Linked DNA regions of Saccharomyces cerevisiae S288C. Changing the gene in region 1 together with any one later gene gives a genetic interaction. Each region holds a gene or a part of one and is shown in the gene's direction. Other genes may lie near its edges.

Evidence for each region.
Region 2: mutations in PYP1 (region 1) and WRS1 together harm fitness more than expected from each alone (negative genetic interaction), as found in Saccharomyces cerevisiae (one large-scale study listed by BioGRID).
Region 3: mutations in PYP1 (region 1) and AFI1 together harm fitness more than expected from each alone (negative genetic interaction), as found in Saccharomyces cerevisiae (one large-scale study listed by BioGRID).

Annotation. Positions count from the first base shown.
Region 1 is NC_001146.8:604,475-615,476, forward strand, and holds PYP1 (putative phosphoric monoester hydrolase), read left to right. Parts: upstream 1-9,160; coding exon 9,161-9,886; downstream 9,887-11,002. Other genes in the region: PBI2 (Pbi2p), read left to right, coding at 910-1,137; HEF3 (translation elongation factor EF-3), read left to right, coding at 1,845-4,979; SPO1 (putative carboxylic ester hydrolase), read left to right, coding at 5,212-5,316, 5,401-7,191; YNL011C (uncharacterized protein), read right to left, coding at 7,362-8,696; isocitrate dehydrogenase (NADP(+)) IDP3, read left to right, coding at 10,347-11,002. UniProt on the Saccharomyces cerevisiae protein: Hydrolyzes sugar alcohol (polyol) phosphates. Dephosphorylates a variety of substrates, including: sn-glycerol 1-phosphate (D-glycerol 3-phosphate), D-ribitol 5-phosphate, D-sorbitol 6-phosphate (D-glucitol 6-phosphate), and D-erythrose 4-phosphate.
Region 2 is NC_001147.6:131,093-139,328, reverse strand, and holds WRS1 (tryptophan--tRNA ligase WRS1), read left to right. Parts: upstream 1-1,503; coding exon 1,504-2,802; downstream 2,803-8,236. Other genes in the region: HMI1 (ATP-dependent 3'-5' DNA helicase), read left to right, coding at 1-102; COQ3 (hexaprenyldihydroxybenzoate methyltransferase), read left to right, coding at 284-1,222; YOL097W-A (uncharacterized protein), read right to left, coding at 2,924-3,109; SDD3 (Sdd3p), read left to right, coding at 3,491-6,604; serine/threonine protein kinase PKH2, read right to left, coding at 6,847-8,236.
Region 3 is NC_001147.6:562,014-571,911, reverse strand, and holds AFI1 (Afi1p), read left to right. Parts: upstream 1-2,353; coding exon 2,354-5,035; downstream 5,036-9,898. Other genes in the region: ORT1 (Ort1p), read left to right, coding at 1,105-1,983; phosphoribosylaminoimidazole carboxylase ADE2, read left to right, coding at 5,721-7,436; GTPase-activating protein RGA1, read right to left, coding at 7,719-9,898. UniProt on the Saccharomyces cerevisiae protein: Involved in actin patch polarization. Required for maintaining a proper budding pattern in yeast cells. Required for proper polarized localization of the ADP-ribosylation factor ARF3 at the plasma membrane.

The DNA of each region.
Region 1 (11,002 bases):
TACTCTATTTTTTTAGTTTTTCTGTGTCTTATTTCCTTCCTTCGTCACTGTTTAATTTTTAATACTATTATTTTCCTTTAAAATGTGAAAGTCATTGCTAATAGTGTGATAAAAATAAAGAACGTATTTTCTGAAGGCTTTCTTTATTATATTTCCTTTTTCCTTTCTTACCCTATTTTTTTTAAACATCCATCCCACTGTATTTTGTCGAGTCCATATATATAATTTTTGTTTTTATTTTTTACAACTTTTGTTAAGTATATAAAAATGCTACCTAGCGTTATGGAGACATGTCAGTCTTGAGTCCAGGCACATAAAGGCAACAGCCACTACCACTGCGCACCCGTGACGCTGCTCCAACGTTCTCATTAAGTACGGAACTGTGTTTCGAACAAAAGAATGGCTGTTAAGACCAAAAAAAAGGCAGCTTAACAGGAACCCGGCTGGTTCCACAGGACTTTTCTTTCTTTAGGGAAAGGTTGTGAAAATGACAACCAAAAAGTCGCGACGCCAAATATCAAAAACCTAGATGATATTACTTCGTCTGCCAAACACCTCCTTTCCCTCTATCCAGCCCTTATTTTTTTTCCAAGAGCTTCATATGCACGCCCGAATCATTTCGAATCGCGTACGTGGCAGGTTGTGGCTGGCATCTTTCCCAAAAGGAAACGGACCAATACCACGCATCCCCGAGCTCTTGGTCTTTCTTTATCTTGCATAGCCCAAAAAATAAAATGGGGCGGGAAAAAGGGGGCATATCAGAGCATCGGGAACTTCTTTCAATGCAATATATATGGCACATATAAAAAATTCTGGCTTCATTATGTTAGGTGCAGAGATTCCGTTTAGACCAATTGAACGGTAACCAGAAGGTAATCTTAAATATACAAACAAAAAACAAGGTCCATAATGACAAAGAATTTCATCGTCACTTTGAAAAAGAACACTCCAGATGTGGAAGCTAAGAAGTTCTTGGATTCAGTTCATCACGCAGGTGGCTCTATTGTACACGAATTCGACATCATTAAAGGGTACACCATCAAGGTACCAGATGTTCTCCACTTGAACAAGTTGAAGGAAAAGCACAATGATGTCATCGAGAACGTCGAAGAAGACAAAGAAGTTCATACAAATTGATTCCTGAGATAAACGCAAACACTTTTTTACTCGGAAATTTTCTCTCCCCGATTGTAAATTTATTTCTCGTCTACTATAATAATTCACCAAAAAACAGCAGAGCACGTCCTATATATATATATATATATATATATATATATACATATATATATACGAATATATTTATGACAGTCTAAATCGTTGCTCCTGTTCAATTTTAACGCTCTTTTATAACTGCTGTGGCGCCATTTCTTTGGCATCTAAGATGTGTCTCGGGACTTTCTTTTTCTGGTCATCTTGCTTTCCTTGCCTTGTCATTAACAGAGCTAAACTGTGTTGAGGAAGTGGTCTTTTAAATTTTCAAGGTCGCGGCCCGTGCATTGCGCGGCTGGATGTCTTTTAGGGGAGCGATGCGCTTGCACAAAAGAATAGCCTTGATTTCCGCTATTAATGGGTATATTCTTCTAACAATTTGAGTTTTTTCTCCACTTGTTTCTTTCTTCTTTCTCTTTTCCATTCACATTTTGCTTTACTTTTCTGGATAATATATATGTGCATATATATATATCCATTTAAATATATATATATATATATCTTTTGTCCTCCTCTCCAGTTACTTTTGCGCCAGAAATTCCTTCTTCTTTTCAATCTAATAGAGAAGGGTAGATAGTGTGGTGCAAAAAAAGAGCCTTTTAAACCAAAAATAAATAAAAAAAAGGAATCACAAAATGTCAGATTCACAACAATCAATCACCGTTCTAGAAGAGCTTTTCCGAAAGTTGGAAACTGCTACTTCAGAAACAAGAGAGGGTATTTCTTCGGAGCTTTCCTCATTTTTAAACGGGAACATCATCGAGCATGACGTTCCCGAAGTTTTTTTTGATGAATTTCAAAAAGCTATCCAGAGTAAACAAAAGGCGCTCAACACGCTGGGTGCGGTGGCTTACATAGCAAATGAAACTAATCTATCACCTTCTGTTGAACCGTACATAGTTGCGACGGTCCCTTCTGTATGCAGTAAAGCTGGTAGTAAAGATAATGATGTTCAACTTGCGGCAACAAAGGCCCTCAAAGCCATCGCTAGTGCTGTTAACCCGGTTGCCGTTAAAGCACTCTTACCTCATTTGATTCATTCGCTGGAAACTAGCAACAAGTGGAAAGAGAAGGTTGCTGTTCTCGAAGTAATCTCTGTATTGGTAGATGCCGCTAAAGAACAGATTGCCTTAAGAATGCCGGAACTAATTCCCGTTCTTTCGGAATCCATGTGGGACACTAAGAAAGGAGTTAAGGAGGCGGCAACGACAACCATCACAAAGGCAACTGAAACTGTTGATAATAAGGATATTGAGAGATTTATTCCAAAATTAATCGAATGTATTGCAAATCCAAATGAGGTGCCTGAAACCGTTCATCTCTTGGGTGCAACTACTTTTGTAGCCGAAGTAACTCCAGCGACTTTGTCTATTATGGTTCCTTTATTGAGCAGAGGTTTAGCCGAGAGAGAAACCTCTATAAAACGTAAAGCTGCGGTTATTATCGATAATATGTGTAAATTGGTTGAAGACCCGCAAGTTGTTGCTCCATTCTTAGGTAAACTACTACCAGGGCTAAAGAACAATTTTGCTACTATTGCTGATCCTGAAGCGCGTGAAGTTACATTAAAAGCTTTAAAAACCCTGAGACGTGTGGGTAATGTCGGGGAAGATGATGTGTTACCAGAAATATCGCATGCTGGTGATGTTTCCACAACACTGGGCGTCATCAAGGAATTACTGGAACCTGAAAAAGTGGCCCCAAGGTTCACCATTGTGGTTGAGTACATAGCCGCGATTGCCGCAAATCTAATTGATGAAAGGATCATTGATCAGCAAACGTGGTTTACACATGTTACACCTTATATGACTATATTTTTACATGAGAAAACTGCAAAGGAAATACTAGACGATTTCAGGAAAAGGGCAGTAGATAATATTCCAGTTGGACCGAATTTCCAAGACGAAGAGGATGAGGGTGAAGATTTGTGTAATTGTGAATTTTCCTTGGCATATGGTGCCAAAATATTACTAAACAAGACTCAATTGAGGTTGAAGCGAGGTAGGAGATATGGTCTATGTGGTCCTAATGGTGCCGGAAAATCCACTCTAATGCGATCCATTGCTAATGGCCAAGTTGACGGGTTCCCCACTCAGGATGAATGTCGCACTGTTTATGTGGAACACGATATCGATAATACACATTCGGACATGTCCGTTTTAGATTTTGTATATTCCGGCAATGTAGGAACTAAGGATGTTATTACCTCGAAATTAAAGGAGTTTGGGTTCAGCGATGAAATGATAGAAATGCCAATTGCATCCCTATCTGGAGGTTGGAAAATGAAATTAGCTTTGGCGAGGGCTGTTCTGAAGGACGCTGACATTCTACTATTGGATGAACCAACAAATCATCTAGACACTGTTAATGTGGAGTGGCTGGTAAATTATTTGAATACTTGCGGAATTACATCGGTGATTGTCTCTCATGATTCTGGTTTTCTGGATAAGGTTTGTCAATACATCATACATTATGAGGGTCTTAAATTAAGAAAGTACAAGGGTAATTTATCAGAATTTGTTCAAAAATGTCCTACGGCACAATCATACTATGAATTAGGTGCCTCTGACCTTGAATTTCAATTCCCAACTCCTGGTTATCTAGAAGGTGTCAAAACGAAGCAAAAGGCAATTGTTAAAGTAAGTAATATGACTTTTCAATATCCAGGGACAACTAAACCACAAGTCTCAGATGTTACTTTCCAGTGTTCTCTATCCTCAAGGATTGCAGTTATCGGACCTAATGGGGCTGGTAAGTCCACTTTAATTAATGTTCTTACTGGTGAACTGTTACCAACCAGCGGTGAAGTATATACACACGAGAATTGTCGTATAGCGTATATTAAGCAGCACGCTTTTGCACACATTGAATCGCACTTAGACAAAACTCCATCCGAATACATTCAATGGAGGTTCCAAACTGGTGAGGATAGGGAAACAATGGATAGAGCAAATAGGCAAATAAATGAAAATGACGCAGAGGCCATGAATAAAATATTTAAAATTGAAGGGACCCCAAGAAGGGTTGCAGGAATCCATTCAAGAAGGAAATTTAAAAACACGTATGAGTACGAATGTTCGTTTTTGTTAGGTGAGAACATTGGTATGAAATCTGAAAGATGGGTTCCAATGATGTCTGTCGACAATGCTTGGCTACCAAGGGGCGAATTGATTGAATCCCATTCTAAAATGGTTGCTGAAATTGATATGAAGGAAGCTTTGGCTTCTGGTCAATTCAGGGCTTTAACAAGAAAAGAGATTGAATTACATTGCGCCATGTTGGGGTTGGATTCAGAATTAGTCTCACATTCAAGAATTAGAGGTTTATCGGGTGGGCAAAAGGTTAAATTGGTACTCGCTGCCTGCACGTGGCAAAGACCCCATTTGATTGTTTTAGATGAACCTACGAATTACTTGGACAGAGATTCATTGGGTGCTCTTTCAAAAGCATTAAAAGCTTTTGAAGGTGGTGTCATTATTATTACGCATTCGGCAGAATTTACTAAGAATCTGACTGACGAAGTTTGGGCGGTTAAGGATGGGAAAATGACACCCTCTGGCCATAATTGGGTTGCAGGACAAGGTGCTGGCCCAAGAATTGAGAAAAAAGAAGAAGAGGGTGATAAATTTGATGCTATGGGTAACAAGATTAATAGTGGGAAGAAAAAAAGCAAACTCTCTTCTGCAGAATTGAGAAAGAAAAAGAAGGAGAGAATGAAGAAGAAAAAAGAGATGGGTGATGAATACGTTTCTTCTGATGAAGATTTTTAATTTGAAGTCGAGTACATCTCTTTCAGTGAGTAACTTATATATTTTTGAAGTTAACATCCTTATTCTTTTTTTATATTTTTATTTTTTTTATGTTTATTTTCTATTACTGATTTTCACAAAGAAAGGTAAAAAAAAACATACTTCAGCGGCTATACAACCATATTTAAGTAAATGCACTCAGAGAAAGTATACAAGTAAAAAACCTAAGTAAAGACATAAATATCCCAAAATAATGCAAAAACTCCTCTTTGTCTTTTCTGTGTTATTGACAGTAGTACTAGCAACAGCACCATTTCAGGTACAATGTCCTAGCTCTCCACTTATTAGGGAGGCCAAAGTAAGTTAAACTCTTTGCCACTTTAACAAATATGGGCCAAAACTAACCGAATATACCAAAACTTCGTATTCCTTTGTTTATTAGCATGAACTCTGTCCAGAAGAAACCTTGTATCTGAAGAAAAAAAAAATTAAAACGAAGAATAAACTGATTCAGTTTTTAAAATCCTTGACAGAGGCAAAGTTTAGTTCGAAGTTTTATAAACGCGTGTTGAAAGATCCTCCAAAAATTGGGATTGCTATATCTGGCGGCGGGTACAGATCCATGTTAGTAGGTACCGGATTTATTTCCCAAATGAACGATTATGGCCTTTTTGAATATTCGGATTATATTGCTGGATTATCAGGCGGAAGTTGGATCTTGATGGATTTGGTAGTTCAAAATTTTGAAGTAAAATCCCTGCTACAAGAGTGGGACCTTGAAGAGGATCTTTTATTAGGCATACCGGAATTCGATATTTCCGAAGAAGAAATTGTTACCAATGCAAAAAAGGAGTATAATGATAATGATTTGAAGATGAAGAAGCGTCAGGGGGGTTCTCTGATTACAAGCTCTTCAAATTTTTATGAACAAATAGAGGAGATCATGAATTCCATAGAAGAAATCCCAGAAGACTATATGATAACGAAGAGAAACTTGAATCCATTAGCAAGACTAAAAAAAATATTCTTTCCTAACAACACTTTCACTGGAACTGATGCGAAGATTGAAACCTTTAAAAAAGTGCTAGACTTTTACAAAAGTTTGCATTTGAAAATTAAGCCTAAAAAAATGGAGGGTTTCCAAATATCGTTCACCGATTATTGGGGTAAAGCAATCGTTCAAAGACTAAAAAAAAATTTCGATGACGATCCCAACCATTCCTTTTCGTTTTCGAAGCTTGTAAACTCGTCTAAAAAATTTAAGGAATGCAGTGTGCCGATCCCAATATTCGTTGCAAATTGCAAAAATGGACTTCTTTCAAACGTTATATTTGAATTTACGCCCTTTGAATTTGGATCTTGGGAAAATATCCTCAGACTTTTCGTCAAGTTGCCCTATTTGGGCTCAAAAATTGTTTCTGGAAAGGCCGAGAAGTGTATTAATAACTTTGATGATCTAGGTTTTATTACTGCGACGTCTTCTTCAATATTCAACAATGTGCTCATCTTCATCTGGAATTTGGCTTCTCAGTCCTCCAGAGAAGCAATGAAAGCTTTGAATATGGTTATGGGAATTTTTGGCCTAGGTAAAGAGGAAATATTTAGTATTTCGAAAGACTCCTCGAGATTAGAGACAGACTATGCCGTATATCAACCCAATCCCTTTTATCTTTATCCTGAAAAAGACAATGTCCTAACTAACAAAAATCATTTATACCTTGTAGACGGCGGAGAAGACGGCGAGAATATTCCACTCAGAACATTGGTGATTCCTGAAAGGGAACTAGATGTAATTTTTGTTCTGGATTCTAGTTCGGATATTGACAACTATCCAAACGGCTCCAAGTTAAAAAGGATATTCGAAAAATTAGATGAAGAGAACGTTCATTACCAATTTCCGAACAATGTAAAAACATTCACTCACCCCATTGTTATAGGATGCAATGCTACCAAAAGAACTGGACATGATTCATTTTTGCCAATTATAATTTATCATGCCAATGCGAATCATGGAAACGCATCTAATACGTCGACATTCAAAATAACTTACAATCAGTCTGAAGTTAGCAGTATGTTACCCACTGGAAGGGGAGTGTTTAGCAATGATTATGACCTTTATTATAAAAATTGCTTAGGCTGTATATTAACCAAAAGAACAATGGACAGGCTCCCAAGAAAAAAGAAATTTTCGCCATTTTGCTTACAATGCTTTAAAGACTACTGTTACTCATAAGAGAGTAGACTTTTTCTGTGAAATTTAATGAGTTTTTGTTCACCTTTTTTACTTTTCTTCTATGCCATATGGTTAAATAAAACATGGTTCAAACGCGATTCTTTTTTATTATCTATGTCTTTATTATGTAGTCTTCACTATAATAACCGTTAATGAGCGACATAGTTGCATCAGTTTTTAAGGCCAATTTGATTCAGAACCTTTTCAAGTTCTTCACTTTCCATCTTATCCGAAGACGCGATCTGGTGGCATCTAATACTATGCTTCTCGAATATCGTTTCATCAATTTCAATTTCACCATTTTTTAGGTAAACAATATCAGTAATAAAATCTTGCCATTCAAAGTCATCATTCTCTGAATGGACACCCTTAGATTGCCTATAGCCTGCTATTGCCCTACTCATAGAATCTATGATCATTTGAACGTAGTGTAAACCGTCTAAACCAAAAACCTCTCTATCATATTTATTATTTATGAGCAAAACTTTTTTCGTATTATTAGATTCCAAAATTACTTCAGCAAGATTACCAAGAATAAGGATTGGGAGTAAACTTGTCATTAAAGAACCGATAGAATAAACGACCATGTCAGCTTTTTTCACCTTGGAAATAGCTCTTGGATTTCCCATTGGTTTTATCTCTTCGCCATATGGGTTTATATACAATATCCTATGTACCGGAGCAGGTAGATTCTGTGATTCATCAAGCTTGTCAAAATGCAACTGGGAGTTTTTCAGTTCTGGAAGAATATAGATAGGATTGGCATACTCCTCTTCCGCTTCTTCTTCCTCATCGTCGAGGAGAATTTTCAAATGGTCGTCATAAGAGCCAAGTAAATGAATAAATTTAGCTGAATGTGCTATGCTATTATCTTTAGGAACAGATTTCGAGGGATGCGATATTTGTGATTGGCCAGTTATCATCTCACCATTCGTCAACAAAGCCGAGATATGATGTGTGTGATTGGTATTTATACATGGAATAACATGAACTAGAGGACTGCACCTTCCTATCCTCATCATTAGTTCAATAGATGCGTCTAGAGAACCTAAAAACAATCTAGCACCAGTTAAGAAAAAATTTCCAATGGATGCACTCTCAAACTGAAATGGATTCGAGTGTTTGATTTTTTTCAAGAGTTCTGCTTGCATATGGATAATAAAAGAACGACACATTTCCTTAACTTCTATCGAAATATTTTTCCATATGGGATGCGAACCTTCCACTATTTCATTCCATTCTTTCTTAGCTAATAACTTATCATTAGGTAGCCTATGGCCAAACAACTCGACAAGCTGTTCATCTTGAAGTAGTCTCACTATTCTAGATCTGATATCACCAATTGCTGGGCCACCAACTATTCGTAGAATTTCACTTGTGGACCCGCCATTATCTGATATTGGCAATATATACGTCAGCTCATGTCCTTTTAAGATAGAAATATTAGAAAAGCAAGGAGTCAATGAATTTGTGGCAGTCCCACCGGAGCACACAACGACGTTCATCTAGTAAACTATCTCACCACACTCTGCTATTTTGTCCCCTTATTACCTCGAGGGAACAAAAGATTCCGTTTCCTCTCTTTCATAGTCCGCCTAAATAGCTTAAGAAATAAACCCAAACATCACACATTAGCGTTCTTTAGGAAATACGAAACAGGTTAATACAACAGTAGTAACTTTCCACATAATATCTAAGCATTACACGCTGAAAAAAACTCTTTATTGGATATCAACAACCCAACACATTGTACGACATATTCTTTTATCGTTCTACTATGGTACCCTGTTCAAATCTCTTTTTCTAAAATGAGCGAAATTTTCGAAAATTATCGCATAATTTTTCATCATCTTAAATTAAAAAAATACAGTGTCCTCTATTGTTTATCTCAACAGAACGCACACATTCTTGAAACTTGCTCACATAACATAAGCTGGAGTGACATAGCATTTATATATATACAAGGGAAATGGTCAAAGCTGTTATTTTTACCGATTTCGACGGTACCGTTACTTTGGAAGATTCTAACGATTATCTGACCGATACTTTAGGTTTCGGTAAGGAAAAAAGATTAAAGGTCTTCGAAGGCGTGTTAGATGATACTAAGTCTTTTAGGCAAGGTTTCATGGAAATGCTGGAATCCATCCACACCCCTTTCCCTGAGTGTATCAAGATCTTAGAAAAGAAAATTCGATTGGATCCTGGTTTCAAGGATACATTCGAATGGGCTCAAGAAAATGATGTCCCTGTCATCGTTGTTTCCAGCGGAATGAAACCAATTATCAAGGTTTTATTGACCAGATTAGTTGGACAAGAGTCTATTCACAAAATTGACATTGTTTCCAATGAAGTGGAAATCGATGCACATGATCAATGGAAAATCATCTATAAGGATGAAAGTCCCTTCGGACATGACAAATCCAGAAGTATCGATGCTTATAAAAAGAAATTTGAATCTACCTTGAAAGCAGGTGAACAAAGACCCGTTTACTTTTACTGTGGTGACGGTGTTTCTGATCTAAGTGCTGCAAAAGAATGTGATTTGCTATTTGCCAAAAGAGGTAAAGATTTGGTCACTTATTGTAAAAAACAAAACGTCCCATTCCATGAATTCGATACCTTCAAAGACATCTTGGCTAGCATGAAACAAGTTCTGGCTGGTGAAAAGACAGTCGCTGAATTGATGGAAAATTAGTGCAAGACTCTTACGAAATATTAAAGTTTAATACCGTGTAACTGCCTCTTACATATGTATGCATATATACGTACGTACTATATTTTTCTTGTATATCTTTTTTATTGTCTGAGAGAAAGAACATCAAAAAATAAAGGAAGATCCTCCTCGGATTTAGCATGCTTAATGCCGAATCTTTAATACAAAACGAATGATATTTCAAGTATACTAATTAGAAATCAATCAAACATACCAAAAGGGACAGTAAAGAGAAAAGCAGGAGCTCTCTTTTAGGGGAAAAGTAAAATGTGATTAGTATTTCGTTGCGTGTACTAGTCAACTCTTCTTGTCATTCTTAAATTTACATTAATTACCCCAATTTTGCATCTTCGTATATAAGAGTGTTCCCCTTATAAGCTTTCTCCTGCACATACCTGCAGTAAACACAAGCAACACTTTAGAGATAGTTGTCCAAGTTAAAATGAGTAAAATTAAAGTTGTTCATCCCATCGTGGAAATGGACGGTGATGAGCAGACAAGAGTTATTTGGAAACTTATCAAAGAAAAATTGATATTGCCATATTTAGATGTGGATTTAAAATACTATGACCTTTCAATCCAAGAGCGTGATAGGACTAATGATCAAGTAACAAAGGATTCTTCTTATGCTACCCTAAAATATGGGGTTGCTGTCAAATGTGCCACTATAACACCCGATGAGGCAAGAATGAAAGAATTTAACCTTAAAGAAATGTGGAAATCTCCAAATGGAACAATCAGAAACATCCTAGGTGGAACTGTATTTAGAGAACCCATCATTATTCCAAAAATACCTCGTCTAGTCCCTCACTGGGAGAAACCTATAATTATAGGCCGTCATGCTTTTGGTGACCAATATAGGGCTACTGACATCAAGATTAAAAAAGCAGGCAAACTAAGGTTACAGTTTAGCTCAGATGACGGTAAAGAAAACATCGATTTAAAGGTTTATGAATTTCCTAAAAGTGGTGGGATCGCAATGGCAATGTTTAATACAAATGATTCCATTAAAGGGTTCGCAAAGGCATCCTTCGAATTAGCTCTCAAAAGAAAACTACCGTTATTCTTTACAACCAAAAACACTATTCTGAAAAATTA
Region 2 (8,236 bases), on another chromosome or scaffold:
GGTTATAATGTGCAGCGATACAATCAGTTACGTAAAAATTTTGGATTTTATAGAGCATATTCTTCACTAAGAGGTTGTAAGAGCGTTTTCAGACGTATATAGAATAGTTTTTTACTTACCTTTCATAATGTATTATCACCCTTTTACATAATACAAGTTTTAGAAGCAGATATTTTTATTTTTTTCATTTCCATTGTTCAAAAAGAGGGATGGTAAAGTATGCTAAAAGGCATACAAAACAATTAAAGGGAAACAGGTACAGCGAAGTCTTATGGGATTCATAATGTTGTTAAGATCTAGATTTTTGAAGGTTATTCATGTGAGGAAACAATTGAGCGCCTGTTCAAGATTTGCAATTCAAACACAAACGAGATGTAAGAGCACAGATGCTTCTGAAGATGAAGTGAAGCATTTCCAGGAGCTAGCCCCTACTTGGTGGGATACAGACGGATCACAAAGAATTCTACACAAAATGAATCTAACTAGGTTAGATTTTGTGCAGAGGACTGTGAGGAACCAGGTTAAAATTCAGAATCCTGAAATATTTGTCCCTGGATTTAATTACAAGGAGTTTCTACCAGAATACGTCTGCGACAATATTCAGCGGGAAATGCAGGAAAGCATAGAGACTAATCTAGATAAGAGGCCAGAAGTGAGCGTCTTGGATGTTGGATGCGGTGGTGGCATTTTGAGTGAATCGCTCGCGAGACTAAAATGGGTGAAGAATGTTCAAGGGATCGATCTGACTCGCGATTGTATCATGGTAGCAAAAGAGCATGCCAAGAAAGACCCCATGCTGGAGGGAAAGATAAATTATGAGTGCAAGGCTCTGGAGGATGTTACTGGACAATTTGATATTATCACCTGTATGGAAATGCTAGAGCACGTGGATATGCCTAGTGAAATTTTAAGGCATTGTTGGTCGAGGTTAAATCCCGAAAAAGGTATACTCTTTTTAAGTACTATAAACAGAGATCTCATCTCATGGTTTACTACAATTTTTATGGGTGAAAACGTCTTGAAGATCGTCCCAAAGGGTACTCATCATTTGAGCAAATACATAAACTCAAAGGAAATCCTTGCCTGGTTCAATGACAACTACAGTGGCCAATTTCGCTTGTTGGATCTCAAGGGGACCATGTACCTCCCATATCAAGGGTGGGTTGAGCACGATTGTTCCGATGTCGGTAATTATTTTATGGCTATTCAGAGACTGAATTGAAATCAAACGAAAAGTAGGTATCTGACTGTAAATATCTTCTTATATAAATATATATATATACACTTTTTCACGTACAGCATGAGTTCAAAAAGCAATGGCATGGTCCTGCGTTTATTAAATGATGTATCCTTTTCAAGACGCCAGTAATTTATTCAATACAGTATCTCTTTTCCGCTTATAATGGAAAAGAGAGAAAAAAGATCAAAACGTTGAAAAATTTTTTTTAGTCATTGAGGTATCAGAAATAAAACTCAATAACAAAAAATAGTCGTAGAACAACGATGAGCAACGACGAAACTGTAGAGAAAGTCACCCAACAAGTGTCGGAACTAAAAAGCACAGATGTTAAAGAGCAAGTAGTTACACCTTGGGATGTGGAAGGTGGGGTTGATGAACAAGGTAGAGCCCAAAATATTGATTACGACAAATTGATCAAACAATTCGGTACTAAGCCGGTCAACGAAGAAACCCTGAAGAGATTCAAGCAAGTGACGGGTCGTGAACCACATCATTTTTTGCGTAAGGGATTGTTTTTCAGTGAGCGTGACTTCACTAAAATATTAGACCTTTACGAACAAGGCAAACCATTTTTCCTATACACTGGTAGAGGTCCTTCGAGCGATTCTATGCACTTGGGTCATATGATCCCTTTTGTCTTCACCAAATGGTTACAGGAAGTGTTTGACGTACCATTAGTCATAGAGTTGACAGATGACGAAAAATTTTTATTCAAACACAAGTTGACCATCAATGACGTTAAGAATTTTGCCCGTGAAAATGCCAAGGATATCATTGCTGTTGGCTTTGATCCAAAGAACACCTTTATCTTTTCTGATTTGCAATACATGGGTGGTGCATTTTACGAAACTGTAGTAAGAGTTTCCAGACAAATTACAGGATCCACTGCAAAGGCTGTTTTCGGGTTTAATGACTCCGACTGTATTGGTAAGTTCCATTTTGCCTCCATTCAAATTGCTACCGCATTCCCAAGCTCATTTCCTAATGTGTTAGGCTTGCCTGATAAGACACCATGTTTGATTCCATGTGCAATTGACCAAGATCCATATTTCAGAGTTTGTAGGGATGTCGCGGATAAATTGAAGTACTCCAAACCTGCTTTGCTTCATTCCAGATTCTTTCCAGCTTTGCAAGGTTCCACGACCAAAATGTCAGCCTCTGATGATACCACTGCCATTTTCATGACCGATACACCAAAGCAAATTCAAAAGAAAATTAACAAGTACGCATTCAGCGGTGGTCAAGTGTCCGCCGACCTACATAGAGAATTAGGTGGTAATCCCGATGTCGATGTTGCATACCAATACTTGTCATTTTTCAAGGATGACGATGTTTTCTTGAAGGAATGCTATGACAAATATAAGTCCGGTGAATTACTATCAGGTGAAATGAAGAAACTGTGTATCGAGACTCTGCAAGAATTCGTTAAGGCGTTCCAGGAACGCAGAGCTCAGGTGGACGAAGAGACCTTGGACAAATTCATGGTCCCACATAAGTTGGTTTGGGGCGAAAAGGAAAGACTTGTCGCACCTAAGCCAAAAACTAAGCAAGAAAAGAAGTAAGTAGTCACGCTTATTCTGACGCTATTATATACAATGATATAGAATCCGAAATTGTAGTTTAACACTAAAAAAATAATGCAATAGAACAATAGTGTTGCGATGTCTCCTGACCTCACTATTTCTATAGATTGGTATGAAAAATTTTTTTTTCAAATATATGGGAAAAATTTTTCACGGCATATAAAAGACTACCATCTTTCTGCATCAGTGTGCCAGACCCATTCTCACACCAAGAAGCGAGGAAGCTAACAGGCCAGTACTTGCAGGTTAGGTTTTCGTGCTCAGATGAGCAGATCATGGACTGCATTGTGCTGTTGTTGCACAGTAAATTTTGTATACCATACTTTATGATGATATTCTTTACGAACTTTTAGACGTTAGACTTCTGAAGGAGATTAGACCCTCCTATGGAAGAGAAACTCGTTAAACTTATCTGAGTAGGTATGTGTATATGCGTCTCTTGTATTATACAAATGTTCTTATTTCTTGTCCTGCATTTTTCCGAGTATTGGTAAATTCATGTAAATTTTTCATCCCATAGATCGTAATTTTGAAGTAGTGGCAAAAGATTTTAACAGAGCGTAAGATATAGTGAGAGAAACTACTCGCTGAAAAGTTGAAAGTGACCCAAAAAACGGCACGAAGACCAATTATACGCACTTTCAACACAGTTCGTCGAATCTTCACAATGGGGTTCAAGAAGCTCGTATCATTCCAACCGGATTATGTCCCACAATACCATATAACTAAATATATCTCGGAACGAACTAAACTGCAACTGGTACATATAAACCACAAAACCTCCCCATTGGTTCACGGTTACTTTGCTGTTCCTACAGAATGTCTTAATGATTCAGGTGCTCCGCATACCTTGGAGCATTTGATCTTCATGGGTTCTAAATCTTACCCATACAAAGGTTTATTAGACACAGCTGGTAATCTGTCTTTGTCTAACACCAATGCTTGGACTGATACCGACCAAACTGTTTATACATTAAGCAGTGCTGGCTGGAAGGGATTCTCAAAGTTGCTACCTGCTTATCTAGATCACATCCTACATCCAACTTTAACAGACGAGGCTTGTTTAACTGAGGTTTATCACATCGACCCGGAAAATTTGGGTGATAAAGGTGTGGTATTTAGTGAAATGGAAGCCATTGAAACTCAGGGCTGGTACATTTCAGGGTTAGAAAAGCAGCGATTAATGTTTCCTGAAGGAAGTGGCTATCGGTCAGAAACTGGTGGGCTAACGAAAAATTTAAGAACCTTAACCAACGACGAAATCAGACAATTTCACAAATCTCTGTATTCTTCTGATAATCTTTGTGTCATTGTTTGTGGTAACGTACCAACAGATGAACTGTTAACCGTCATGGAAGAATGGGATAACAAATTGCCGGAGATTCCATCGAATATACCAAAGAAAAGACCATTTTTGGACAACAAGCTTTCGCACATACCGCAATCTAGAGATAAAGTTACGGAATCTACTGTAGAATTTCCTGAACTTGATGAAAGTCAGGGTGAATTACTCTTTTCTTGGATTGGTGTTCCCTACTCAGATTTTCGTAATGACCTAGCGGTTGATGTGCTATTAGATTACTTTACTGACTCTGCATTGGCAGTGTTTACAAGAGAACTGGTTGAAATTGACGATCCCATGGCAAATTCCACTGATTGTTGCACTGATTATTTCATGAGAACCATAATTGATCTTCGTATCCAAGGTGTCCCAACAGAAAAAATAGCAGCAACAAAGACCAAGGTACTGGAGATTTTGAAAACCCATACCATTGATTTATCAAGAGTTAGACAGGTAGTTGAAAATACTAAATGGGAATATTTGCTGAACTATGAAAAAAATGGCGAGAGTCGTTTTTCTAGTGCTGTGATTACCGACTATATTTATGGTAATGAAGATGGTTCTTCATTAGTGTCTTCTCTCAAGGATTTAAGTGATTTTGATGCTTTATTACAATGGTCCCAAAAGGACTGGCAATCTTTGCTGAACAGAATATTCGTAGACAACAAACCTATCATAGTTACCGCTAAACCAAGCGCTTTGATGTATGAACAACTAGAGAAAGAAAAATCGGATTTGATCAAACAAAGAGAAGCTGAATTTGATGATGAAAAGAAACTGGTTTTATTGAAAAGATTGAACAATGCAAAAAATATTAATGATAGGCCAATTCCGAAATCTCTACTACAGAAATTTGAGATTGATAATCCTTCAAAGAGTGTTGAATTTGTCAACACGAAAAGCATTGCAACTGTCGATTCGTATAAATACAATAATGTTAGTGATCCGCTGACCAAAAAAATTTTAGAAACGAGGCCAGACAATTTTCCTCTTTTCATTCACTTAAATCATTTCCCGTCTCAATTTATAGAGCTGCATTTTTTGGTCAACTCCGCATCTATTAAGGATACCTCGCTTTTACCATATTTTAATATGTTTGACGAGCTATTTTCCATGCCAATGAAAATCCTTGATGAGGAGAGTAATGTAGAAACTATGCTCTCGTTTGAGGAAGTTGTCGCCAAGTTAAAATCAGAAACTATTGACGCACAGATCAACCAAGGTTTGAAGGGTTCTTGTCCTGACCTTATTAATTTTAAAATTCAATGTAGAGCTGGGGGTTACTCTAACTCTGTTCAATGGATCAAGCACTGCCTATTTGACATGGTTTTTGATGAAAATCGTGTTCGTATTCTGCTGGAGAATTATTTGAATTCTATTGTAGAATGGAAAAGAAATGGTAATGTTATGTTAAGTTCTTTAACTAACAGAAATCTCTATTCGGCAAGATCGCTGAAAAAATCCACCGATCCATTATTTGTTGAAGCAAAATTACAAGAGATTTTTGCAGAAATTGAGAATGGCAACTTTGAGAAAGAAATTTTGCCAAGAATAGAAACAATGAGAAAGCAACTGAGAGCAAATTTCAACAAGTTTCATATTTTGGTTCTTGGTGACATCTCAAAGATCGATGACGTTTATGAACCATGGAATCCCTTAATTAAGTGCTTGAACATTGCACATCCAGTTGAGAAGTTAAAAATTCCACCAGTTCCAAGAGCCCTAGATACCATTTCATCGATTTGCAGAACACCTGGTGAAAAGGCCTTTATAATAACTACTCCCGCCTCAGAATCTGCTTATATGAATCTAATAACGTCTATCCCATTTAACTTGGACTACCATGATCCCGAATACGCTATTGTCTCATTGGCTTCCGAATATCTAGAATGTGTTGAAGGTCCATTTTGGAAGGGAATCCGTGGTGCCGGATTGGCCTATGGTGCCAGCATGTTAAAATTATGTGAGATAAATTCTTGGGGATTCAATATTTACCGCGGCGCTGATATTATTAAATGTTATGAAGTTGGAAAACAGATTGTTCAAGATTATGCATCAGGTGCCTTGGAATTTGATGAGCAGTTAATCCAAGGTGCCATCAGTAGTATTATTAACAGGCTGGCTACTATCGAATGCGGATACTTTGAAACAGCCCTGTCCAAATATGTTGATGAATTCTGTTTGCAAAGGGGGAACAACTTCAATGAATTGTATTTGGAAAGGTTGCAGAATGTTACCAAAACAGATCTGAAAAATGCCATGCAGAAATATTTTGTCAACATGTTTGATTCCAATAAAAGCGTTGCCTTTGTGAGCTGTCATCCAGCTAAATTGGAATCAGTTCAAGAATTCTTTGAAACTCAAGGTTTCACTGTCGAAATAGAAGAGCTAGAAGATGACGATGACGAAATTGATAGTGAAGAAGACGAAAATGCGTGAGTACATGACCTCCATTTCAGCTTCACTTTCAACACAGAAACAGTGCGTATTATCTGCATTCAATAAATAGCAAAAGGAGCATTGTCTCATTCTTTTCGAATTCTGGGATTCTGCCTTACGGCGCTCTTTCATTTGATTGATCGAGAATTATTATTATATTTATATGAGTACTTGAAATTCCTCATATATTTATTTTTAGAGTATTTAAGTAGCTTGATGAAAACATTAGATAAAATTACTAATTACGACCTCTTCGATTTTGCAGATGAGTTTTTGAAATTTGTTCCTGTGTTTAGACCTAATCCCACGGTAACTTGTCTTTTTGGCAATCCGTTAACTAATTTACTGGTTAACGGTACTGGAGCAGCGTGTTTTTTTGAATTTTGTTCCTTGGCATTGATAAAGGTTTCAAAAATTCTGCTTGATCTGTTGCTCTTAGCGCTATTAATCGATTCAGAAAACGAATTGTGCTTTGAAATTGATGGAGATTGGCTATGCGTCCTGGGTTTTGGCGAAGGAGACTTGGAAGTTGGAAGATCTTTAGGTATGGCTCTTCCGGATGATGATGTTCTTCTTTCAATTACCTTTTGGTTTCTTTGCAACAGTTCTTTCTCTATTTTATTTGTATTCGAATTAAGAATTTTTTTGAGAACAGTAAACAATTTGCTCGTGGTTTTTTTATCAGTGCTCAAAAGAAATGACTTGTAAGGTGTCTGAATCACAACTATATGATTAGTTCCCATTTCCAAGGGAATGATTAGTTCTTTTATTTTGGTACCCTGTTGACGCAAATTTATGTCATATTCTAGTTCATACTTTAAATTTGTAACTGGATTTGGCTGCCTCCTCTTGGCAAATACTAGAAACCTTCCAAATGATGTCATTACAATGGTTCGTTTATAGTACTTGGTTTTTTCATCAGAGGAAGAGAGCGTTTCAGCTGCTGAGGTAGGGTGAAATAATTTTTTAATCTTGCCAGAAAAAACAGAGCTTCCTTTATTGTTAGATTCGGATTTATCATCGTCTTTCATTGGTGAGCTGTTTTGATTGCATTTGTACCCTTCTCCGCTTCTGTTAGTAAGCAACTCCGATAAGTCACCTCCTTCAATTCGATAATCATCTTCCAAGAGCTGCAAATCGATAATATTTTTCGAATAGTACGTATCTTCTGTTTTGGAATAAGCAGTCATAGTTGGATCATTTCGAAAACCTGTAACCTCTCCCCCACTCCTAGCTACTTGGGATAAAAAAGTATGTCTAGGCTTACCAAACAGTTGAGGATCTAACAATGAACCATTTAGTTTAAGCATTTTCTTCTCTAAGATATCGTAATTTGTGGTAACAAAATCCAGTTTTTCCGTCCTTAGTACATGTTCGTTGATGTTTTTCAGGTAAAAGGACCATTGAATATCTTGCTTGTTCATCAAGGGAGAATCTGTGCTATTTTTAACATTTTGCTTACTAATACAAGGCTTAGGTGCGGCAATTGCGGTATCAGAATAATCCTGCTGTTTTGTCGTATAGGGAGGTGTCATTTGATATGTATCATATGGTGTCATAGGGGGCGACATTGGAGGTGTGTATGGAGGCATTGGGACTTTTGACGATAAAACTGATGCTGACAAAGGTGGA
Region 3 (9,898 bases), on another chromosome or scaffold:
TGATTTGAAAAAATAAAAAAATGTTGCAGCAAGTGATCATTAATGTCAATATAAATAATGATGGTAGCAAGATGAGTGTTTACGTTAATGTACATTTCATATACTGAGAAATAGGTGAATTTTCGGGATAATCGTTAGGATTTCATTATTGTTAAGGGCTATAATTTAGGTATATCGAATATACGAGAAGTTCTGCACGATGATATAGGGATCCATAAAGGGAACCAATATTTCTACGTACCTGTTACTTCTCCCTCCATTTTATATTTTTCATCATTTTATGACGTTATCAAATCCTTGCATTTCAGTTGCCATTATACTTTACCATTGTTTTTCGATTTTATGTCATCTTCTTACACCGTATGACAATATACCAGTAGTATGAATATCAGTCGATGAGTGAGTTGATTTTTATTCGAACATACACGTTTTAACGTGAATGTACTAAACTGCTAACTGAGCATTTCGGACAGTGCTGAAAATAAGTTAAAGATCTACGCTTTGGTAGTTATGTATACGAGTCATACAATTCGTCACATTAAATGTATAGTATCAAAGACAGTATTATCCACACTTAATCTTCATTAATACTTATCAACAAAAATGAAGCACTCATCTGACTATATTTATATAATATTGCCGACCAAAATCCTTGTGTTTAATTCCAAGTGATTTAGCACCAATCCTATTCCATCCATGCAGGTGCTGTTGCTGCTGGATCCGTGTTTTTGACCAGTCTTAATGAAGCACAACAGCAGCCTACCCTTTTTGTGGACCATATTAATGGATACAATGAGTACTTAGCACGAAGAAAGCGTAGCATTGTAGTTTCATCGTTGCAACTTAGTCCTAGTACGTTCCAGTTCTGCATCGTGACTCACCTTGAGCTCGAAAAATGTGACATATACGTTTTCCGCTGTGGCCGCTGTGGCCGCAGCGTCAAGAATCGCCAATGATAAGTTCTCTGCTCCTGGCGTCGATAGATTCAGAAAAGTGTGAAATTATCGAAGCACGGGTATAGTTAATTGTTAAAGCGTAGATGCTTTGTCGTAGAAACTTTTCTTTAACCTATAGGGAACTCAAATTCTGGAAGGTCAACGTATAATGGAGGACAGTAAAAAGAAAGGATTAATAGAAGGCGCTATACTCGATATAATAAACGGTTCCATTGCAGGCGCCTGTGGTAAGGTGATCGAGTTTCCTTTCGATACTGTGAAAGTCAGGTTGCAAACACAAGCATCCAACGTGTTCCCAACAACATGGTCTTGTATAAAATTTACTTACCAAAATGAAGGAATAGCACGAGGGTTTTTTCAAGGCATTGCTTCACCTTTAGTTGGAGCATGTCTGGAGAACGCGACATTATTTGTGTCTTATAACCAATGTTCTAAATTTTTAGAAAAACATACAAACGTTTCCCCGTTGGGGCAAATCCTGATCTCTGGTGGAGTAGCGGGTTCATGTGCTAGTTTAGTTTTGACACCCGTGGAGCTGGTGAAGTGTAAGTTGCAGGTTGCGAACTTACAAGTTGCATCAGCTAAAACGAAACATACAAAGGTGTTGCCTACAATAAAAGCAATTATAACTGAGAGAGGATTGGCAGGATTGTGGCAAGGGCAATCGGGCACTTTTATTCGAGAAAGCTTCGGTGGTGTTGCCTGGTTTGCAACCTACGAAATAGTTAAGAAGTCGTTGAAAGATAGGCACTCCCTTGATGACCCAAAAAGAGATGAAAGTAAGATATGGGAACTACTTATTAGTGGAGGGAGCGCTGGATTGGCATTCAACGCCAGTATTTTTCCTGCGGATACTGTGAAATCAGTAATGCAAACTGAACATATAAGCCTCACCAATGCGGTGAAGAAGATATTTGGCAAATTTGGACTAAAGGGTTTTTATCGAGGACTGGGTATAACCCTTTTTAGGGCAGTACCAGCAAACGCTGCAGTTTTTTACATCTTTGAGACTCTTTCTGCACTTTAAATACAATAAATCGTGTAATAAGCAAGTATGTAACATTGATAGACAGTCTGTAATACCATTTACTGATCAAGAATGTCGCACAATCTCAACAGCCAGGCTTTGTGTTAGTATTTTGTGTTTTTTACAACAACCTCTCGACTATTGTATACCAGTTTCTTGCATAGATGCTACTATTCTCTGACAGTAAATTATCTAGTCAGGACTTCGGATTTAACTAAATGCAAAAAAAAAAATGATTCGAATGTAAACAAAAAAAACTGTCTAGGTAGCAATGGTTCTTCTATAAAAGTGCAAGCTCTATAAAATCAAGATCAAGCATAGTACCGCCCACTGTTAGAGTCTTTGGTACGCAAACATTTTTGGCTACCGGATGTTGCGAAGAGAACTAAATAACTCTATCAGCAACAGGTCGATAGAAAATGAATCCTTTCCTTTTGAAAGGCCGAATGTCAGCTATATAATATCCGCAGAATTTGATAATAAATTAGGTCCTATTTTGAAGCACCAATACCCGAAAGATATTCCAGGTTTCAATCAGTTCTCACATGAGCAACGCAACGGCAATACGTCGGTGTCTATGAACTTGGCAAGTTTAATGATACCGAGTAGCATAGAGAGAAATCCCGGCAAACAAGATATTACAGTGTTTACCCTTTATTACAATAAGTTTACTCAAAACTATCAACTCTTTCCTGTGCCAAAAGACCCTCGTTTCAGTTTCAATCTGCATCATCGTGAACAGTCAGATGGTAGTGTTACCAATAGCATATATTACGATGCCGAAAATCATCAAGATGCAAAAAATAATAGATACACTATTGTCTTGGAAGATGATGAGCTCGAATGCCAGGAAGTTCAGAATAATCAGAAAGCCATCGACAACGAACCTTTATTTTTCATAAATGTCGCCAACACAGTATTAGACACCACGAACGATAGAGGGGCAGTAATCAAGTCGATTGCCATCGGAACACCATTAAAAACCTTCTTTGCATTCAAAAATATTATTGTATTAGTGTTAGACTTGTATATGAAAGCTCCCACTCAAGCTGCTGCTACAGACATACTGCTTGATTGCTTTAATATGCTAAACAGTATTGACCTTACATTGATTAATGACATACATTCCAAAAGTAGTATACAAGAAGTGCTACACTCTATCCATGACGAATCTATCATTACCAAAGTATTTTTAGACCCGGATTCCACTTTAAAGAAACTCTTTTGCATCAATGGATTTGACACTAAGGACAAGTATGGTAACATTGTGACTTTTCATGACCAACTCATTCAATATCATTTTACAAGATTTCAGCCAAAGACGCTCCCGCCATTTTTGTTAAAAATCCCATTGCAATTTAATATGATTAGAAGAGAGCCTATTTATATTGAAAATGATTATAATGAACTAGTTTTAAAATTTTTGGATAAATTTGTCCCTTACCTTCTTAAAGCCGGACAAAAAGTTAATGCATGGAAGTTAGTCATCAATTCAACTAAACTGAGTAAAGAAGACCTATGCGCTTTTATTTTGTCATTAGCCAACATAACGGCAACTTATGCTAGCGATCCACAATCATACTTCAAAGGAAATGCTGCGTTGATTTTTCCCTATATGGACATTTCTCTTGTTGACGGTTTGCGGGCGTATGTAGCATCGAATAGTGATTTTGTCGGATGCTTTGCAATTATCGGAACTGCCAATCCAATTTTCCGATACCAGTTAGATATCTGGGATTATTACTACGATGTGGATGAGGGAGTGTTTTATGAAAATAATAGTCCAGAAAAAGAAAAGCCAGATACAGTGGCAGAAGTGAAGATTGGGCCTAACCCTTTGAGAAAGATATTCAATAGGCCTCATTTCTCAACCAACGCAGTCAACGAAAGTCAGGTAAACTTGGGCCAGAAGCTCTTTTCTCTTCTTATCGACGAATATCATGATAGTGATACTATCATGAGCGTTTTGAGAAGGCTGAATGTTCTTCAGTTGGAAAACCTTCTGGACGCTTTGAAAAGACGAGAAATTCCACCTAATATAGCACTAAAAGATGAATATATCATGTTTTATAAAGATTTTTTCATTTTCCCGGAGTTCTTTGATTATTTTACACTGCATAGTATTGAACTATTGTCTAACTTGGATAATTGTTTATTTAGCTTAGGAAACACATGCCAGTTATTTTCCACAGAGCAAATATATTCCCAATTAAGCCAAATATTGGACATTGTTAAAGAGCTGTTTCGCATGGTATCGGTAAGCAGGACAAACATTGAGAAGTTTTTAAACGCTTGTTTGAACTATTCTCCGTTCAAAATATTACCCACAGCTCAGTTACACGGTGATAATATTTCTAGGTGGAGTTTTGAAAGCGAAGTGCGTCAGGGTTTCGATAATTTTAACAGCTATATGGGCATCGAAAAAGATCCCCACGGTGTTATAGTATCAGCAATAGATCTTTTTACTCAAATTTACAGTTTTGATATCTTGGCGTTTTTCCTCACATTTATTACAAAAGAAAGTGGGCAGGATTTGCCCTTCACAAAATCTCTGTCCAGGAGAAGAACGTATTTGACCAGAATTGCTCAATCTTCTTCATTGAGACAGTTTTTACAACTGAGTACACGCCCTAATATAAGGATTCTGGGAGGTAATGGGCAGGGTACTGGAAATTCCAATTATCCCGAATTTACAAACGCATCCTCAGTCATCTCACCCAAGCTAAGGGCTTCTCCTCTACTAGAAAGAAGGGCGTCAAAAATCTGCTATGCTATTACGAAATTACTCTATAGGTTAGAATGTCATCCCATAGGTATGGCCCTTTTAAAGAAGTATCTCCACAATCAATTGCGAGAAGCCTATCTAGAATCAAAACGACACTTTATTTCCAAAAAGGGAGATTCGACCAACACTTCCTCTACCATTGCATCATCATCTTTCGCTGGCGCATCTGTTCCTCTATCTTCAAACGAATCAGGAATGCTAAACGGCTTGAAGCAAATTAACGAACAACAAGAATCTACATTAGAAACCACTCAAAAGGAAGACTAGTAACGCCGTATCGTGATTAACGTATTACATAAGTTACAGGATTCATGCTTATGGGTTAGCTATTTCGCCCAATGTGTCCATCTGACATTACTATTTTGCATTTTAATTTAATTAGAACTTGACTAGCGCACTACCAGTATATCATCTCATTTCCGTAAATACCAAATGTATTATATATTGAAAGCTTTTGACCAGGTTATTATAAAAGAAACTTCATGCTCGAAAAAGATCATTTCGAAAAGTTGCCTAGTTTCATGAAATTTTAAAGCAGTTTATATAAATTTTACCTTTTGATGCGGAATTGACTTTTTCTTGAATAATACATAACTTTTCTTAAAAGAATCAAAGACAGATAAAATTTAAGAGATATTAAATATTAGTGAGAAGCCGAGAATTTTGTAACACCAACATAACACTGACATCTTTAACAACTTTTAATTATGATACATTTCTTACGTCATGATTGATTATTACAGCTATGCTGACAAATGACTCTTGTTGCATGGCTACGAACCGGGTAATACTAAGTGATTGACTCTTGCTGACCTTTTATTAAGAACTAAATGGACAATATTATGGAGCATTTCATGTATAAATTGGTGCGTAAAATCGTTGGATCTCTCTTCTAAGTACATCCTACTATAACAATCAAGAAAAACAAGAAAATCGGACAAAACAATCAAGTATGGATTCTAGAACAGTTGGTATATTAGGAGGGGGACAATTGGGACGTATGATTGTTGAGGCAGCAAACAGGCTCAACATTAAGACGGTAATACTAGATGCTGAAAATTCTCCTGCCAAACAAATAAGCAACTCCAATGACCACGTTAATGGCTCCTTTTCCAATCCTCTTGATATCGAAAAACTAGCTGAAAAATGTGATGTGCTAACGATTGAGATTGAGCATGTTGATGTTCCTACACTAAAGAATCTTCAAGTAAAACATCCCAAATTAAAAATTTACCCTTCTCCAGAAACAATCAGATTGATACAAGACAAATATATTCAAAAAGAGCATTTAATCAAAAATGGTATAGCAGTTACCCAAAGTGTTCCTGTGGAACAAGCCAGTGAGACGTCCCTATTGAATGTTGGAAGAGATTTGGGTTTTCCATTCGTCTTGAAGTCGAGGACTTTGGCATACGATGGAAGAGGTAACTTCGTTGTAAAGAATAAGGAAATGATTCCGGAAGCTTTGGAAGTACTGAAGGATCGTCCTTTGTACGCCGAAAAATGGGCACCATTTACTAAAGAATTAGCAGTCATGATTGTGAGATCTGTTAACGGTTTAGTGTTTTCTTACCCAATTGTAGAGACTATCCACAAGGACAATATTTGTGACTTATGTTATGCGCCTGCTAGAGTTCCGGACTCCGTTCAACTTAAGGCGAAGTTGTTGGCAGAAAATGCAATCAAATCTTTTCCCGGTTGTGGTATATTTGGTGTGGAAATGTTCTATTTAGAAACAGGGGAATTGCTTATTAACGAAATTGCCCCAAGGCCTCACAACTCTGGACATTATACCATTGATGCTTGCGTCACTTCTCAATTTGAAGCTCATTTGAGATCAATATTGGATTTGCCAATGCCAAAGAATTTCACATCTTTCTCCACCATTACAACGAACGCCATTATGCTAAATGTTCTTGGAGACAAACATACAAAAGATAAAGAGCTAGAAACTTGCGAAAGAGCATTGGCGACTCCAGGTTCCTCAGTGTACTTATATGGAAAAGAGTCTAGACCTAACAGAAAAGTAGGTCACATAAATATTATTGCCTCCAGTATGGCGGAATGTGAACAAAGGCTGAACTACATTACAGGTAGAACTGATATTCCAATCAAAATCTCTGTCGCTCAAAAGTTGGACTTGGAAGCAATGGTCAAACCATTGGTTGGAATCATCATGGGATCAGACTCTGACTTGCCGGTAATGTCTGCCGCATGTGCGGTTTTAAAAGATTTTGGCGTTCCATTTGAAGTGACAATAGTCTCTGCTCATAGAACTCCACATAGGATGTCAGCATATGCTATTTCCGCAAGCAAGCGTGGAATTAAAACAATTATCGCTGGAGCTGGTGGGGCTGCTCACTTGCCAGGTATGGTGGCTGCAATGACACCACTTCCTGTCATCGGTGTGCCCGTAAAAGGTTCTTGTCTAGATGGAGTAGATTCTTTACATTCAATTGTGCAAATGCCTAGAGGTGTTCCAGTAGCTACCGTCGCTATTAATAATAGTACGAACGCTGCGCTGTTGGCTGTCAGACTGCTTGGCGCTTATGATTCAAGTTATACAACGAAAATGGAACAGTTTTTATTAAAGCAAGAAGAAGAAGTTCTTGTCAAAGCACAAAAGTTAGAAACTGTCGGTTACGAAGCTTATCTAGAAAACAAGTAATATATAAGTTTATTGATATACTTGTACAGCAAATAATTATAAAATGATATACCTATTTTTTAGGCTTTGTTATGATTACATCAAATGTGGACTTCATACATAGAAATCAACGCTTACAGGTGTCCTTTTTTAAGAATTTCATACATAAGATCACTTATTATACATACATACATATCCAGTAACAAGAAGCAAGGAATAATTACCTGCTTAAGTCTGCGATTAAAAAAATAACGTTTCGATACAGTTCATATAAGGCGGCTCAATGCAGAACCGAGGATAGCGCTACGTCAGGATATCTTTGTAGTTCCCAAATATAAATGCGACAATATAGTTTCTTTCTTTCATATCAATAATATCCTTTTCTCCACTGAAATCACGAATCAAACCTGGAGCAAAAACTAAAGCCAAATTATAAAGCGTCATTCGATTCCAGTGACTGTACCGTGTAACCTTTTCTATATGTTCACTCAGTACTCTTAACACCCTATAATGTTCCCTTGGAAGGTCTTCCAATATGTTTTTTAAAGCGCTCTTGCTCGACATATAAGTGTCCGAATTCTTTGCTTCTAAGGACAACTTTCCTCCAACAAATGGCAAGTTTTCCATCATTTTTTTAGATTTAACTAACCTCATCAACGGCTCGTATATTTGAAAGGTAAAGATAGGGTTGGGGAGCTTTCTTAAGTATCGCTTCAACACACCAGTAACAACGTTGAGATCTTGTTCCGTTAAAATATTTGGCGTTTCGGTATTTTGTTGTACTTTCCATGCAGAAAATTGCTTTTCTATTTCTTCTATGACTAGCTGGGAACCTGATTTTCTATAAATGCCCTCCGATCTCATATTTTCTTCGTCTGATTCAATAAAATCTATGCAGACAGATAGTATCATCGGTATTTCATTGTTTTCATAATTGCACCTAGCAACGAGACTTGAACCATACAAATTGCTTCCATCCAAATATTCTTCTCCATCTTTACTTTGTCCCATATTTGCATCGTTCTCGATAGGTACTAATCTAACGTCACTAAATTCATTAGGATTTTGTAGCACAGGTGGTGAAATTTCTAAACGGCCGGAATTACTACCAGATGAGGGAGCAGAAAGCAAAACTGGGGCACTTTTAACGATGGAATTTGTATTATTTGTACTGACACCTTGTATAGATTGCTCGGTCTGTGGCTTTGCAGATGAAAAAAACTTCCAAAATTTTGGTTTAACAGAACTTCGCGCTACAGAACTTGCAGTTGCAACATGTTTCACGGGTGGCGACTCACCTAAGCTGATTTCATTTATCATCGGTGGATTATTTGATAATTCATTGGAGTCAAGATATAGTTTATTTTTCTCGCTATTATAGGATTCAATATGTCGGCGTAGAGCCTCTTTCATAGACTTCATTTCAGTGATCTCTTTCATTAATTCTTCCCTTTGAGATTCAAGTTCTTTCAAATTTATTTTTAATTGCTTCAGATAGTGCTCTGCCGTGACAATTTCTTTATCAAGCGAGGGATCGTTTCTAGATTCGCTATTTTCGTAAAGTGTTTCCTTCTGTTCCTCAAAATTGTCGCTATTCTCCAATTGGGTCTTTGGAGTTTTCTGCCAACTAGGTATGCTATAATTTTGGTTACTGTATGAAGACCCATTCCGCCTATCAAATGTCAATGAGCTATCTAAAGGCGGAGTTCGATACATGGATACATTACTTGGTGTAGCTGGCGATTGTAACAAATGATCAATTGGTGACGGAGATTTAAAACTGTGATTCTTCTGTTCTTCAAGGGCGGTTTCCTTTCCACTAGTCACCCTAAGAGTGCCATTATCGGTAAATCTTTTATAGTTTAGGCTTTTTTGATTATTCACCAAAATATCTAAAGAAGTGCTGTTAGAATTTGGTGTGTCAAGGCCGGTATGTGAATCATTATCCCTCATTAAATCTTGTGAGCGTCTAGATGTCACTTTAGAAGCAGGTGAAAGTTTAACGTTACTATCCTGTTTGCCTGTGGCTCTGGATTTTAGATTAATCATCAAATCTTTGGACCTTCGTGACAATGATCTTGAAATTTTTCTGCCTTTTCCACTATTGTTTGAATAGGAATATTTCTCTGCTTGCTCTTGCTGAACACCTGCTAGGTCAGGAACACTTCTGTCTTCCTTGACAACTTCAACAACTGGCCTTTGAAGTGCGTTTGTTTCTTCGACAATATTATTCAATACTTTCCTTGATAGCGAAGGATCCATTTGGGATATTTCACCGGTGTTGAAAATATCCGTATTTGAACCCTTCGGATTTTTCATATTAACAGAAACTGGGCTATGCAATACCGAGGTCAACAATTCACTTGCATTTCGTGAACTGTTATTTGGAGGATCAATTTGATCGCTCTCTTCCAGACTATCGTTAACAATTATTCCCTGTCTATAGGAGCTTGGAGATTTTGCGAGATACTGACCCGAAGAAT